Linked DNA regions of Oryctolagus cuniculus. The main gene of each other region encodes a partner of the protein of the gene in region 4 in a complex. Links are inferred from orthologs where the notes say so. Each region holds a gene or a part of one and is shown on either strand. Other genes may lie near its edges.

Region 1 (4,121 bases), on a different chromosome or scaffold from region 4:
CAGCCAGAAGCCAGCAACTCACTTCCCAGTCCACTCGTGCGTACATGTCTTACCTAAGTTTGCATGAGTTAATGTAGCCATTCCCTCAACGGTTCTCCTGACAGCCACAAGGCACTGTCAGATGCTCACATACATGACGTCAAATCCTCAGACAAGTGCCAAAATCTAGATTTACAATCAAAAGTGCCTTGTCCAGAGCCACCCAGCTTCTGAGAGGCGGAGCTAGGATCCAAGCTCAAGTCTGCTTTCCTTCACGGTATTCTCTTTCCACTATAATACAGAATCCCTGTGAAATGATGGCTGCCTTTTTGTATTTTTTGTTTTGTTTTGTTTTTTGGACAGGCAGATTTAGACAGTGTGAGAGGGAGAGACAGAGAGAAAGGTCTTCCTTTCCGTTGGTTCGCCGCCCCAAATGGCTGCTATGGCCTGCCCATCCGAAGCCAGGAGCCAGGTGCTTCTCCTGGTCTCCCATGGGGTGCAGGACCCAAGCACTTGGGCCATCCTCCACTGCACTCCTGGGCCACAGCAGAGAGCTGGACTGGAAGAGGGGCAACCAGGACAGAATCTGGCGCCCCGAACGGGACTAGAACCCAGGGTGCTGGGGCCACAGGCAGGGGATTAGCCCAGTGAGCTTCAGTGCTGGCCGATGGCAGCCTTTAATAAAACCTACAGAGGGCCAGAAGCAAAGAACGTACCTCATCTTTCCAGCACAAGACAGAAGCAACCGTGTTCCCCTTTATGGACAGCAAATATGATCAGACACGTGCCTTGTCCAAGGTCACGGGCTAATAAATAGCTGACCCAAGATTTAAACTGAGGGCTGTTTAACTGTACGTTGGCACCCTTCTGACAATAACTTCAAAGCAATCAGAGTGACCTCTCAGTACTCAATGATTCCACCGCGTGTCATTTCCAGAGGAAACTGCACGGCGCTGAGGAAGGCCACAGGACACAGACAGTGGCACGAGGGTCACAGAATTTCAGACGACCAGAGATCTGAGATCCTGCCCCATCCTCTTACAGATAAGGAAACCGAAGTGCAGAGACCGCCAACCCGCCCTGCAGCAGAAGCACTTGACGCCACAGCAAACAGTGTAAGGGCATCTAGGTGAAGGGCGTGCTATGAAAAAAACACAGAGAGGTTGCAAGGAGCATGGCGTGAGCTCGAATTGAAGGAGCAAACATAAGACGTAATATCGGAGAAGGAAAAAGAAAAAACTGAAGAATGCACTCGTCAAGTTTTCTATCCAAGAAAGATACTTCTTCAAGTTCTGAAACGCAGATTTTTAGAGCACCTTTCCATTTCAGGAGAACACACATCCCCACTGCCACCTTCCTCCATCTTCATACTCGCTAGGCATCTCTGAGCTGTGGCCAGACTCGCCGCCAGTTCTGTCTGCTGTCCCCCTGTGTCTGTGTTAGAGTGACACACATTTTCCTAACTAAAATCTTCTCACCTAAAACTTATCTTGTGCTGCCTTTCCTCTTTCACCCTCAGAGGTGGAACACCCACAGCCTAAAGGCAAGATTTTTTTTTTAAATCTCTGCATAAAACTCAGAGTTTCCAGTCCTTTTTATTGTACTCCAAGGAGGAGCAACTAAACCACCAAGAACACAAGAATGCAGCCTCAGATGCTATATCGCAAAATGCAGCACTGTTGTTAATGAATCAAGAAACCTTGGTCACAGACCAAAAAGAGTTCAACACTGTGCGTATTTAGTAAGTTTTATTTCCCGGTAACACAACAGTAAATACATTCATTGAGACTGGTTGTGTGACAGGACAGCAGGGGAGGGAAAATACAAAGTATCTTAAGACACCCTGAAGTCCACATGGCTTTATTTCCCGGATGCAGGCTGGTCCTTGCAGCGGAGAGCGTGTTAAGTGAAGTGAGTGCTGGTGTGCTGACTCCCTGGAGCAAAGTCAAGTTTGAGTTCAGGCGCCAAGTACGTGGAGAGGGCGTAAGAGAACTCGCTATCACCTCTCAGAGCTCTGAAACCTCGCAGGCCTATCCCAGCCCGGGCCCGGCCGGCAGGCACCAGTCCCGGGAGCCACAGGTCACAGAGGCAGCGCCCGGGAAAGCGCAGAGACCGAGAGAACGGGAAGCGGCGGGGGCGGCGGAGGCGCGAGCCAGGGCAAGGGGTGGCCCCGGTGGGAGCGCGCTCAAGGAAGGACTGGAAGCCGAGGCAGGCGAGCCGGCGGCGGCAGCGCACCCGGGGAGGGAGCCTGTGCCCGCGGGAAAGCGGGCTGCGGGCCCCGAGCCAAGGGGAGTGACACCGGACCCGCTGCACAGACGGGGCCAGGGCGGCGAGGGGCAGCGAGGAAGCCCCCGAGACCGCCGAGCAGGGCAAGGCCAGCGGAGGGTCTCGGGGCACCCGGCGCGCCGCGGCCGCCCCGCACTGCACCCCTCACCCGGCCCAGGGCCTCTGCACGAACGCCCGGAGAAGTCAAACTCCCGCATCCTCCCCAAGGCCGGCTTCGGGCCGGTGAGGTGCAGGGAAGGCCTGGCTGGGGGTCCGAGCAGCGGGCAGCAGAGCGGGTCCAGGAAACGCAGGGCAGGGGTCCGAGCCGTGGGCCGCCCGCCCGCCGGAACTCACCCGGATGCCCTTCACCACGGTGATGTTCTCATTCTCGTCCGCCTCGAAGGTGACCCGGCGGGTGCTGGCGGTCCCGCCCATGGCTCCTGACCCCGCTCCTGCACGGATCCAGCACGGACCACGAGCGCTTCACAACTCCGCGCACACGCGCGCCAACGTGCCGGGACCCTTCCCGGGCTGCACGGGAGCAAGGCCACGACCCCAAGGAGCAAGGAGAAGGCGCCGGTCTGAGTTCCCGCCTCCTCCGGTCACGTGCCGAAACAGCTACACCTCCGATTGGTCAGAGCCGCGAAGGGCCCGCCTCCACTCGGCGGAGGGTGCTGGAATTGGCTGGCCTGGACCCGGATGCTATGGCAACAGGTGCTGTTTGACAAGTTTCCGGAGCTCCCGGGTGAAGTGGGAATTGTAGTCCCTATCGGGCACGAGGGGTGGTGGGACTCTCTTGCCTCGTCCCGGAGGACGCAAGGCATGCTGGGAGTTGTAGTCTTTCCCTCCAGAAGGGGTTGCTCTCTGGGCAGCTTGGAAGAAGTGCAATCATCGCTCAAGCATGCTTTGAAGACGTTATCCTGAAAACTCAGCAGAGTGAGGTCAAAGACGCAAGCTCGTTCTTAACGGATCTCAGGTTCATGGGGGAGATGCACAGCTTCCTGTAAATACAAATCCCTGAAGTAGAAGTTAGCAGCTCATTATTTTAGTCTGAGTCATTAAAAAAAATGCATTTTCCTGTATCCCCATTTCATAAACTATGTAGATGTTTGATTTCTTCTTGTAAAGTGAAAACTTAAATGCTGTCGTTATAAAATCTACAAATGAGAAAACACGAAAAGTACATTATACTCCGTATACGGAATTCGGTTTCCAAGTTTGTGTCTCCTTCCACTTCTGTTATATACCTTGGACCATAACACAGTTACGAAGAGAAGAATAGTATAAGTTAGTGGGACTATGGAAACCACAGCAGGCAAAGTTGAGAGAATCCATCTTGGAAAGTTTCTGGTTCACTAGAGTATTTCATTTCTACAAGACCAGTAAACAATTTTCAAGTTCCACCTACATCCTTACAATTTTTTTGCTTAACACTTTGCTCCACATTAGCCATACGACCCTAGTTCTTTTTTTAAGATTTATTTATTTATTTATTTGAAAGGCAAGAATTACAAAGAGGTAGAGGGAGAGAGCGAGAGTGAGAACGAGAGAGAGAGAGAGAGAGAAATGTCTTCCATGTGCTAGTTCACTCCCCAGATGGCTGCAATGGCCAGGGCTCAGCCAGACCAAAGCCAGGAGCCAGGAGCTTCTTCCAGGTCTCCCATGTGGGTGCAGGGGCCCAAGGACTTGGGTCACCTTCTGCTGCTTTCCCAGGCCCATCAGCAGGGAGCTGTTTGGAAGTGGACCAGCCAGGACTCAAACTAGCACCTGGTGTGGCACAGTGCTGGCCCCATGACCCTTGTCCTTACAAAAGTAATGAAAATATGCACTACCTTCAGGTGGCCGCTTTCAACATTATCAACAGCAGGCCATGACAC
Region 2 (3,992 bases), on a different chromosome or scaffold from region 4:
CTGGCCCCCGGGGGTGTGTCCCAGGATTCCCCGGGGCTCACCCACCACATCCTGCGGTGAGGGGTCACTCGGGGTAAATCGCCGGGGGCTGCGCCAGGCCCGCAGGCAGGTGCAGTGACCACGACCCCCCAGGGGCAGCCGCGGTGCCCCCCAGCGCCGGCTCAGCCCCCCGAGCTCACGGCCGCCAGCGGTCCCGGCCACGTGGCCACTCGGCCGCCCTGCCTAGCGCCTAGTGCGGGCCTCTGGGCCCACCCCTCCCCTGTCCCCATGGAGGGGCTGATGGCCTCGGGTGCAGCCCCTCCCCCCGCAGCCGCCAGCTGCCACACCCCACGAGAGACCTCCATGGTCACAGAGCTGCGTGGCGAGGGGTGCTGCGGACCCCCAGGGCCGCCAGAAGGGACACTGCCCGCCCTGGTAGGGCAGGAGGGCCTTGGCACGCCCCCCGCCTCCGAGAGCCGAGCCCACCCTGGCCCCACCCACCGGCGCAGGGCCGGCCCCAGGCGGGCTCCCAGCCCCCCCCCCCCCCCCCCGCGGCGCCCGGGCCAGCAGCGGGTCAGGGGCAAGTGCAGAGGCCTTTATTGGGCCGGCCGGGCCGCTCACTGCTTGGTGCGCTCCCGCACGTACGCCCAGCCTTCCCTGGAGTACTCGCGGGCCTTGGCCGGGGCCGCAGACAGAGCCGCCATCACCGTGAGGATGCCTGCGGGGGAGGCGGGGCCGGGCACCGGGCTTTGGAGACCAGCGGGGAAACTGAGGCACGGCCCAGCCGCCCCTCCCCCCCTCGCCTCGAGATCCACGGGAGACACACAGCGCAGGAAGAGGGGTGGTCCCCAGGGGCGGGGCGCGCACCTACCTTTATCCCAGGTCTCTCGGATGGGGAAGCTGATCTTGGGAGGAGCCGGGAGCTGCGGGGAGGGGGAGGGGCACGGGCCGGTGAGCGGGGTCGGGGTGGGGGGGAGGGCGCCCCAGCCCCGCGCACGGCCTGAGCCGGAGAGGGCGCGCGGCCGAGTACCTGGGGCACCTGCAGGCCCGTCTGCTGGCACACGTACTGGCTGAGCTGGTACACGGCCGGCGGCACCACCTCCTCGGCCTTGCGCAGCGCCGCCTCGCCCCTGTCGCTGGGCCCCAGCAGGTCCTGGTCATACACCAGGTAGACGGCGCCCCCGGCCACGCTGCCCTTCAGGAGGAACCTGCGGCGCGGGAGGTGGGCGCTCAGGGAGGGCACAGGGCAGGGGCAGCGCGCACCCTGGCCTCCCGGGGGACGCCAATGCGGGACTCCCCGCGCCGGCCCCACGGCACAGGGCAGGGGCAGCGCGCACCCTGGCCTCCCGGGGGGCGCCAATGCGGGGCTCCCCGCGCCGGCCGACGGCACAGGGCAGGGGCAGTGCACACCCTGGCCTCCCGGGACGCCAATGCGGGACTCCCCGACCCCGACCCCACGGCACAGGGCAGGGGCAGCGCGCACCCTGGCCTCCCGGGGGGCGCCAATGCGGGACTCCCCGCGCCGGCCCCACGGCACAGGGCAGGGGCAGCGGGCACCCTGGTCTCCCGGGGGACGCCAATGCGGGACTCCCCGCGCCGGCCCCACGGCACAGGGCAGGGGCAGCGCGCACCCTGGCCTCCCGGAGGGCGCCAATGCGGGACTCCCCGCGCCGGCCCCACGGCACAGGGCAGGGGCAGCGGGCACCCTGGTCTCCCGGGGGACGCCAATGCGGGACTCCCTGCCCCCGAACCCACGGCACAGGGCAGGGGCAGTGGGCACCCTGGCCTCCCGGGGGACGCCAATGCGGGACTCCCCGCGCCGGCCCCACGGCACAGGGCAGGGGCAGCGGGCACCCTGGTCTCCCGGGGGACGCCAATGCGGGACTCCCCGCGCCGGCCCCACGGTACAGGGCAGGGGCAGTGGGCACCCTGGCCTCCCGGGGGACCCCAATGCGGGACTCCCCGCCCCGGCCTCACGGCACACAGGCGGCGGGAAGGGGCGACCGCGACCCCCGGTGGCTTCCGACCAGTCTGCGCTCCTATCTGAGCGGGGAGCAGACCACCGCGAGCCAACCGGACAGGCGGGGTGGGGGTCCTGACGGGGACTCTCTCGGGGGTTCGGGACCCCGCCCGGCCGCCCCACGAACCTCATCAGCGACCACACTCGGGCCACCATGGTCGCTCGGCTCCGCGCAAGGACACCACACTGCCCGCCGCTTCCGCTCGCGGTGCGCAGAGGACGCCGGGACCTGTAGTCTTTCCTGTCAGCCGCAAAGGCCTCCGGGAGTCGAAGTCCCGCTAAAGCCTCTGAGACTCGGGAGAAGGACTAGCGAGGGTCCTACGGGCAGAGAGGCTTCTGGGAAATGTAAGCTGTGTGGGCGACCCGGGAGCCGCAAGGCCGTCTGGGAAGTGTAGTCAGTACCGCCCCGTGAACTCGCTGGGCCGCGAAGCCTCCTGGGAAATGTAGTTTGGTCCTACCCCGGCGTCCGTGCGTGGAAAGAGACGTAGGGGGTCTGGAGTGAAGCCTAAGGGTGACCAAGAAGGGGTCAGAGGCGAAGTCAGCCGCGCCCGCGCGGGAGACAAAAGCCTTCGACCTAGGGAGCCCGCGCCGAGAAGGTGGTTGTCCCGGCAACGCCAGGGCGGGATTGTGGGCGAGAGGCGGGCCCTCGGTCACGTGATCGCGCGCCGTTCGGAACTTCCGCCCCGGGGGCGGGGCCACGGCGCGGGTGGCCGGGAGTTGGGCGGGCGGAGGCCGTTGCCAGGCAACGGGGGGCGCGGAGTCCTGGCGGCCCGGCCCCTCCCCCCGAGGAGGTGGGTTTGGCGTCACGTGACTCGGGCCCTACGGGAGGGGGCGCGGTCGGGGGCCCGGCCGCACTGGGCTGGGAAGGGAGACCCTCAGGGCGTTGGCGTGACTCCCAGGCCAGGACCCCAGCCTCGCCGGACACTGGGGCAAACAGGCCCGAGTGGGTGAGTGCGCAGCTGGGGGCGCGCGGTGGGTCCCCATTGTCCAGGGGGAAAGCTCCGGCCCCCCACTCCTCCCTCATCCCCGCTGGCCACTGTCGGTCCGCCCATCTCTGTCCATCTCACATCGTCCACTCTGCCTGGCTGCTGCGGGCGGGGCGGGGGCTGGGAAGAGGCCCCTGCCGAGGGGCTTCGTGCGCTGACCTGGGCCTGGGAAGGGGTCGGCCTGACCGGAAGCTGCCACTGAGAGCGGACAGGTGCAGCGACAGGTGGGCGGGGCCAGGCCATTGGCGCCCCCGCCCCAGGTCCAGCAGGAGGCGGGGTCCGGAGTCTGCGCGGGAGAAGAGGGTCGGGGGTTCCTGTAGGGGCGTTGCTGAGACCCGGAGGCCGTGCGTGGTGGGCGACAGCGTGGGAGGAGGCGAGGCCAGCACCTGGGCCCCCGCACCGTGTACTTGGGGCACGCTGGGGCCTGGGAGAGGCGGGTTGGGGTCAGCCGCTGAGCGGGGTCTCAGGACTCGGGCCTGGATCTGGAGATTGGAGACTTGAGGGATCCCCCCCATCTGCCCTGCGCCCCCTGGGCCGCCTCTGCCTTGGGCATCTTTGAGCTCCTGTCTGCCCGTGGCTTCTTTAGACAGACCCCGACCCACCCAGGCGTGATGGGCCGGTGCCTGCGCAGGACAGACTCCCCTATGAACCTGGGCTGTTTCTCCCTTTCTTTTTTCACAAGGGGTGTGTGTGTTATTTAATTTATTTATACAATGCATTTGAAAGCTTGAAGGACAGGGCGGGGTGCGGAGCTGGGAAGAGGTTGCTCTCAGCCCCTGGCTCACTCCCCAGACGGCCCCACCATAAAGGCTGGGCCAGGCAGAAGGAGCCCACTCCGGGGGCTCCCAGGCGGGTGGGTGGCTCCGAGGGTGTGTGTTAGCAGGGGGCTGGAATGGAGAGCAGACCAGGGGGCGGAGGCCGGGCTGCACCTGCCCCGGATGAAGTCAGGATTTCTCGCGGGGTTGGGGGGAAGACCAGGTGATCTTGCCGGGCAGCGGCAGGTGTGG
Region 3 (3,560 bases), on a different chromosome or scaffold from region 4:
ACCTGGCACAGTGCATGGCACACAGTGAACACTTAATGACTGGCAGGGATTAGGCTGATGTCCCTGTCAATCACAAAGAACTGAAGGAACGCAAAGGCCAGGGAGATGGCCAGAGACCTACCTCACTGAGCAAATACGTCAATTTAGAATGACAATTTAGAATGCTTCAAAGGTCAGACTGTGGCCCAGCCACCACAAAACACAGAACTCAGAGCCCTGATACACTGTCTAGTGATGTGGGCATAATCTAAAAGGCGTGTGCTTCATTAGAAGGCTCTATCAAAAATAAATAAAACAGCAAAATTTTAAATAAAAAATAACTACTACACACTGTTGATGAGAACCTTTAGTCCAAATGCAGCCCTCCATCATCAGAGGTTGGTCTTATACTTGGGTTTTTCACTTGATCCTAGTTTCAGTTAACTTCTAGGAATCAAGGTTAAAGTGGCAAAAGACAATATATAGTCAATTCTTAGGTAATTAGGGCAAAGAGATCATGACATATTTTCCAAATTCTGACAGAACTGTTTAAACCAGCCCAGCAAAACAGAAATTATGAAACTCTCAGGAATCTCACCACCTCAACAATAATCCAAAGCAAAACTGACGTTTATATAAGATCATTTATGTAAGTTTCTGTCAAATTTATTTTCACCTCATTGTTTTCCTGTTTCCTGGTACCAGTTCAGAAGCAGCACAGGTGCAGGAGGAAAGGGTCTCTGCCTCCTCTTACAGTATCTTCCCCAGATAATCCAAGGAAAACCCAGCCCAGAGAGCCACCAGAGGCCCTAATTACTTGTTAAAGTCCATGAGTAATTACTTGGCTTTGAGAAGGGCATCAGCAGCTTCATCTACTGCCTTTCTGCGTTCCTTCAATGCTCCCTCCACTGTACGCCACTGGGCAGACTTCTTCTCACCTGCAATCTAAACACAAAATGCGAATTAAGTAAACGTGAACAACTGCTAATACTGTCATCAGATAGGCCAACAAGATTAAGCACAAAATACAAGACATTAAATTCAAAAGAGAAAACTTAGATAGTATCTCTCCAGAATAGGAACTCAATCTAGCAGTCACAGGCACAAAGATGTTCATGAATCACTTCCCATCAACTGTCCTTCCACAAAATCCTAAATAAGAAAAAAAAGGGGGAGGGAGGTTAGGAGGAAGGGGCTCTGGTGTAGTGGGTTAAGTTGCTGTCTGCGACGCCATATTCAATATGGGCACTGGTTTGGTTCCTGGCCGCTCCACTTCCAATCAGCTTCCCGCTAATGTGCCTGGGAAAGCAGAGGAAGATGGCTGGAGTCCTGGGGTCCCCGCCACCCACGTGGAAGACTAAGAGGACACTCCCGGTTTCAGCCTGGGCCAGTTGACCATTTGGAGGGGTGCACCAGCAGATGAAAGATCTCTCTCTTTCTCTATGTCTCCTTCTCTCTAACTCTGCCTCTCAAATAAAAAAATTAGTGTTCCAGTCAACTATTTTCCAAGGAGTTTTATTAGATTCTCAAAAGAAAATATCAACCAGACAAGGTTTATAATAATAGAGGGGGCTGGCACTATGGCGTAGTGGGTAAAGCCACCCCCTACAGCATGCCAGCATCCCAAATGGGCACCGGTTCGAATCTCCGCTTGTCCAACTTCAATCCAGCTCTCTGCTATGGCCTGGGAAAGCAGTAGAAGACTTGGGCCCTTGCACCTACGTAGGAGATCCAGAAGAAGCTCCTGGATCCTGGCTTTGGATCCACACAGCTCTGGCTGCTGCAGCTATCTGGGGAGTGAACCAGGGGATGGAAGACACCTCTCTCTCTCTCTGCCTTTCTATATCTCTGCTGTTCAACTAAATAAATAAATCTTTAAAAAAATAATAGCTTTAAGTGAATCACCTGTTGATTAAGTCATTCTCTGATGTAGTGTTGCTGCCTAAAATTTTCTGAATTGCAGGTCTGGCTACCAAAACTTCAGTTTAAGGACAAGTACAAAGCATACATGTTTAAAAAGAGCACTTACTTGGGGCTGGCACTGTGGCGTAGCAGGTAAAGCTGTCAACTGCAGTGCCAGCATCCCATATGGGCACCGGTTTAAGTCCTGGCTACTCCAGGATGAGATGGCAGACAAGTCACAACACCTTGTCCTCTCCTCATTTTGCACCATATAAACATTGATCAGAATATTGGGAATTGTCTAAACTATTTAAAATTATTTTAAATGAACTATTGAAAATTATCTTTCGTCTCCTTTTTCTTTTTCCAAGTGCATATAAACTGGATATATTACATGTGGGTATGAAGCAAAATTACCTTATGGACCCTGGAGATGAACAGGTATATACTAAATCACCAAAGAATAATTGACTTAGAAAAAAATAACTGAATTGTTTCAATACCCGAGTTTGAAATCACCCCAACAGGACGACCACAGGAGTTGCTGCACATCTCCTCGAGCACTGCAGCTCTGTGCAAGTCTGCTGTGGTGGAACCAGGAAAGAAGGCACATGCAGATTTCTACAGAAATGCTGATTCCATGAAAAGTTTTGAGGAGATGAAGAACGCTGGTTTCTTCCAGAATACAAAGTGATATGGGATGTAAAGAATGTCTTTAGGTTGAATTCTATAGTAGTGTGCCACTGTACCAGGCCAATGCCAGGAGTCCAGAGCTTCTTCCAGGTCTTCCATGTGGGTGTAGGGGCCCAAGCACTTGGGTCTGCTTCCACTGTTCCCCAGGTGCATCAGTTGGGAGCTGGATCAGAAGTAGAGCAGGGGCCAGCGCTATGGCATAGTAGCTGAAGTTGTCGCTGGCAGTGCCAGCATCCCATATGTTCGAGACCCCCCTGTTCCACTTCTGATCCAGCTCTCTGCTATGGTCTGGGAAAGCAGTGGAAGATGGCCCAAGTGCTTGGGGCCCTGCAACTGCATGGGAGACCCGAAGGAAGCTTCTGGCTCCTGGTTTTGTATCAGCACAGTTCCAGCCATTGCGGCCATCTAGGTAGTGAGCCAGCAGATGGAAGACCTCTCTCTCTCTCTGCCTCTCTGTAACTCTGTCTTCAAATAAATAAATAAATCTTATTAAAAAAAAAAAAAAAAAAAAAAAAAAGAAGAAGAAGAAGAAGAAGAAGTGGAGCAGCCAGGACTCAAACCAGTACCTGTAGGCCAAATGCAATGCCAGCATTACTGGTGGCAGCGTAACCTGTTTGCCACAACACGGGCCCCTGTTTTACTCTTTAAATTACTTTGTATAGAGATACATATCCTGAACTACTGAATTTAATGTAAAGAAATGTATTGATCCCCAGTATTATGCTTAGAAGTGAATATTATTTTATTCTTTGAAGCACTCAATGTAAGTTAATAAGCATAAGCACTCAAATAGCTAGTGTTTTGGAGTACATAGCTTCTCTATTACTTCTTATGTCAATCTAGAAGTATCTCAAAATACAAAGTTTTCTATGTAAAGAAATGGCTTTAGATTTTAGGGCAAAAAATAAGGAAGCAACAATTACATTCAAACATTATTAAGGTACAAAGACAAATCTGAATTCTTGTAAAATACATCAGCGTGGTGA
Region 4 (4,167 bases):
TACCACTGTGGGCATTTGAGGGATGAACCAGCAGATGAAAGATATTCTCACATTCATTCTCTGCCTCCCCTTTACAAATAAACATATTTTCAAAATTCGAATTTCTGGTGTACAAGGCCAGCATTGTGGCACAGCAGCTAAACCCACCACATGCAACACCGGCATCCCCTTTGGGCACTGGTTTGTGTACCGGCTGCTCCACTTCTGATCCAGCTCCCTGCTAATGACCTTGGAAAGCTGCAGATGCCCCAAATGCTTGGGCCTGTGCACCCACACGGGAGACCGAGATAAAGCTCCTGGCTTCGGCCAGGCTCCACACTGGCCACTGCAGCCACTTAGGGAGTGAACTAGCAGATGGAAGATCGATCTCTCTCTCTCTCTCTCTCTCTCTCTCCTTCTCTCTGTAACTCTTTCAACGAAGTAAATATATCTCTAAAAAAATTTTTTTGATGTAGTAATATGTACTTCACTAACTCATTAAAAAGATGTTAACAGTGAATCTTACAAGCACTCTAATTTTGTAGTGATGAGCATAAATGATATTTTGAGATCTGCAACAACAGTAATATGATATAAAAATGTCTCTGACTTGCACTGGTATTGTGACTTTTTAAAAAATATTTACTTCAAAGGCAGAGTTTAAGAGAAACAGAGACAGACTGTCTTATCTGCTGGTTCACTCCCCATATGGCTTCAACAGCCTGAGCTGAGCCAGGCCACAACACATTAGCAGAGAGCTGGTTCAGAAGTGGAGCAGCTTGGACTCGAGCCAGCACTTGCTGGTGTCACAGGTAGCAACTTAACCCACTGCGCCAAAATGCGGGCCTGAGTACTGTGACCTCTGTTAGTAACAGGCACTAATACTATTGTGGTTTGCTGCTGTAAGGCTTGTTAAATTAATAAGCCCCCAATGAGCCACACCTGCTTTTAACCATGCCCTTGTACAGTCCACTACCGTATCAACTCTGAACTTGGCTATGCAGCTTGTTTTAACATCAGCAAATGATGCAGGTGTTTGTACATTAGGACTGGCCCGTAACCATATGAGGAAGACACAAGGGAGGGACACCAAGCCTCCAAACACGGGAGAGAGAGTACCTTCCAGTCAAGCCCCCTGCTCAATTCAGCCCCTGGAAGATGCCAGAACTGCTCAACCAGCCCAGACTGAGAAATAATAAATCATTGTTTTAGGGTACTGCTTTGCAGTGGTTTGTTACCCAGTAATAGGTAATAGGTATTCACAACTGAAGGAAACACTTGGTTTCATTGAAGATGGGGTGAAAATAAGTTTTTCCCCCATCAGAATCCAGGGGCCCCCCTATATACAGACCCTTTGAAGGACTGAGGACCCCAGGTTAGAAACTCCTGGCTAAGCCAAAAAGATCCTGCTCCCCTTTTTTACGACCACAGTATATAGCTGGTACCCATGCAGCTGAACTGGTCACAGCATAGGCTTCATCGTAAGCCTAAAGCCAAGCTGAGCTGCTAGCACATAATAGGTGTTTAACCTCAACTTGTCAAATGAATGGAAGTTGCTTATGGGATTCGTCCTGCTGACTAAACCGTGAGCTCGCCGAAAACAAACCAGAGGCATGTCTACATGCCAAGACCTCTCTCAAGCGTCTTACGCACAACTACTTCCTCCTACGACTACCTATGAGGCAGATGCTATCATCCCGATTGTCACCAACAGGAAAACAGGCAGAGAGGTTAAATGCCTTGTCCAAGGTCACACAGCAGGACGGGCCAAGGCCAAGGCTAGCAGGCAGAACCGATGTTCTGATTTTATGGTCTTTATTAATGTGCTGAAAGCATACAAGAGCTCAATAAAGCTTAAGCGAGCAGCACAGTTCTAAGATGTCATTAGCACTACTTTACGGGTATGATGCCTCTTGAACGCTCAGTTTCGTAGATTAATTTCTGATAGCCTATGACTTGTTTTTTGTGACTGCAAAAATAATTTTTAAAAAATGGCTTAATGCTACAATACGGATTTTTGGAAATAAAGTCTTCATTGTCTGTAAAAGTCCTTTTATTAAAGGCCACAAGCACATAGATCCTAAGAAAGTCAACACGTCCATTTAAACACGGATAATGGTCACTGGGATGTGGAGCTTCCCTCCCCAGCCAGCCATTCCCACACTAGCCTCCCGCTTCCTGCAGCGGCCACTCCGAGGGCGACCCTCCCCCACCCACATACCAGGTTCTTGAAATCTGATGCTGCCCGGCAACCAGAGTAGCAAACCCCACGTCGCCAGGAACTAGCCTCACCCTGCCCACGATCCCGAGAAGGCACCAGCCGAAGGGGTGGGTGCTTTGCGGAGAGTGTCGTAACTTTTCAAAGTGTTTTATTCACGGAAGCACGACCCAAAAGGGCCGTCGCGACCCGCCCCCGAGTCTCACGCCTCCGCCCGGCAGCCACTCGCCCCAAGATGACCAGTGAATGGACCGCGGGGCCGGAACGCAGCCTGCCTGCAGGCGGGAAAAGCCTTGGGGCGGACCGTGCCCGGTCCCCGGAAAGGCCCACGAGAGCGCGGGGAGGGCTCCCGGTGGCCGGGAGGGGGCGATGACAACTGTGACCCGACTCCATGCTCTCACCTTGAACATGTTGCTGGCAGCGGCGGTTCCGGCAGGGTCACCCCGGCCTCGGCCCCGCCTACCACAAAAAGCCGACTACGGAGGCCCGATAGGGCCTTGTTTCACCCAACCGCAGGCGTGCCGCGGCGCGGGTGACGAACGTATAGTCAACTCGATGAGGCGAAAGTTTAGCTCAACCACCCTGGACTGGAAGCGACGTCACTGAGCGGCAGCGCGTAGCGCCCCGGACGGCGGGCGGACGCAAGCCCCGCCCTCCGTGACGCTCCGCCCCTGCGCCGGTGGTTGCTAGGCGGCAAGAAAGCCCCGGCTCAGTGTGGGCGGCACGAGGAAGCGCCGGGAGGGAGGCGCGAGGAGGGAGGCGCCGGGCGCCGCTGGGCGCTGGGAGTCAGCCTTCGCCTCCAGGATTGGGCGCCCGGAGGTGTGGGCTGGGAGTCCCGTCCTCAGAGGCCTCCGGCTGGGGGCGCTCAGCGGGCCTCAAGCTTCTTCCAGAGTCTCGCAGCCAGAAGCCGCCGATAGGAGCCCTGGATTTACCTCTCAAAGGTTTTTAGGGTTTGTTTTGTTTTTTAAGATCTACTTATTTATTTTGAAAGAGTTACAGAGATAGAGAGAGAGAGAGAGAGAGAGAGAGAGAGAGAGAGAGAGAGGTCTTCCATCAGCTGGTTCTCTACCCAGATGGCCGCAAAGGCCAGAAATGGCCCAGGCCAGAGCCAGGGGCTTCAGCTGAGTCTCCCACGCAGGTGCAGGGGCCCGAACACTTGGGCCATCTTCTGCTTTTCCAGGCCACCAGCTGGGATCCAGATTGGAAATGGAGCCCTCAGGACTGGAACCAGCACCCACGTGGCAGTCACAATGCTGCCTGTTTTTTAGGTCTTTACCAGGAGCTAGACATTTATCAGGCTTTAAGTTTAGTCGCCAAGGATGCTTTTTTCTCTCTTTAAAATACTTAAGCATTACTATTTTATTTGCAGTATTTTCTTTTTCTATTTAATACCATTGGTTGGACTCTTTAATTAACACACAATTGCTTTAGGCGTGTAAAATTAACTGAAAAGTGATCCCTGTTAAATATAAGAGTGGGAATAAGAGAGGGAGGAGATGTACAGTTCAGCACATGCTCACTCGGACTTATCCCTAATGGTAGAGCTAGAAACGTGCCATGGGACTCCAAATCCCATCAAGGTGACGTGTACCAATGCCATCTTACTAGTTAAAGTGATCAGTTTAAATTCATAATTGATCATATAGGATTAAGTGTCAAAGGGATCACATAAATAAGGCCAGTGACAAAACCCTCAGGTGATTACTGATGCCATAAACAAGAGAGTCAATTGTTGAATCAACAACAGGAGTCACTGTGCACTTACTCCCCATGTAGGAGCTCTGTCCTTAATGTGTTGTACTATGAGAATTAACAGTAAAACTACTACTCAAACAGTACTTTACACTTTGTATGTCTGTGTGGGTGCAATCTGTTGAAATCTTTACCTAGTATATACTAAGTTGATCTGTATATAAAGATAATTAAAAATGAATCTTAATGAAGAAGGGGATGGGAGAGGGAGTAGGAGC

The links.
Region 1: APOO (region 4) and CHCHD3 share a complex: the UniProt entries of both Homo sapiens proteins name them as parts of the mitochondrial contact site and cristae organizing system (MICOS) complex. The link is inferred for Oryctolagus cuniculus from reciprocal best matches to the Homo sapiens genes APOO and CHCHD3.
Region 2: APOO (region 4) and MICOS13 share a complex: the UniProt entries of both Homo sapiens proteins name them as parts of the mitochondrial contact site and cristae organizing system (MICOS) complex. The link is inferred for Oryctolagus cuniculus from reciprocal best matches to the Homo sapiens genes APOO and MICOS13.
Region 3: APOO (region 4) and IMMT share a complex: the UniProt entries of both Homo sapiens proteins name them as parts of the mitochondrial contact site and cristae organizing system (MICOS) complex. The link is inferred for Oryctolagus cuniculus from reciprocal best matches to the Homo sapiens genes APOO and IMMT.

Annotation. Positions count from the first base shown.
Region 1 is NC_091434.1:168,944,131-168,948,251, forward strand, and holds the start of CHCHD3 (MICOS complex subunit MIC19), read right to left. Parts: upstream 2,851-4,121; 5' UTR 2,680-2,850; coding exon 2,599-2,679; intron 1-2,598. UniProt on the Homo sapiens protein: Component of the MICOS complex, a large protein complex of the mitochondrial inner membrane that plays crucial roles in the maintenance of crista junctions, inner membrane architecture, and formation of contact sites to the outer membrane.
Region 2 is NC_091447.1:60,302,252-60,306,243, forward strand, and holds MICOS13 (MICOS complex subunit MIC13), read right to left. Parts: upstream 2,607-3,992; 5' UTR 2,156-2,606; coding exon 2,127-2,155; intron 1,188-2,126; coding exon 1,010-1,187; intron 903-1,009; coding exon 851-902; intron 698-850; coding exon 597-697; 3' UTR 561-596; downstream 1-560. UniProt on the Homo sapiens protein: Component of the MICOS complex, a large protein complex of the mitochondrial inner membrane that plays crucial roles in the maintenance of crista junctions, inner membrane architecture, and formation of contact sites to the outer membrane.
Region 3 is NC_091433.1:116,590,307-116,593,866, reverse strand, and holds part of IMMT (MICOS complex subunit MIC60), read right to left. Parts: intron 925-3,560; coding exon 821-924; intron 1-820. UniProt on the Homo sapiens protein: Component of the MICOS complex, a large protein complex of the mitochondrial inner membrane that plays crucial roles in the maintenance of crista junctions, inner membrane architecture, and formation of contact sites to the outer membrane.
Region 4 is NC_091453.1:10,138,527-10,142,693, forward strand, and holds the start of APOO (MICOS complex subunit MIC26), read right to left. Parts: upstream 2,860-4,167; 5' UTR 2,608-2,859; coding exon 2,599-2,607; intron 2,536-2,598; exon of another isoform or gene 2,201-2,535; intron 1-2,200. UniProt on the Homo sapiens protein: Component of the MICOS complex, a large protein complex of the mitochondrial inner membrane that plays crucial roles in the maintenance of crista junctions, inner membrane architecture, and formation of contact sites to the outer membrane.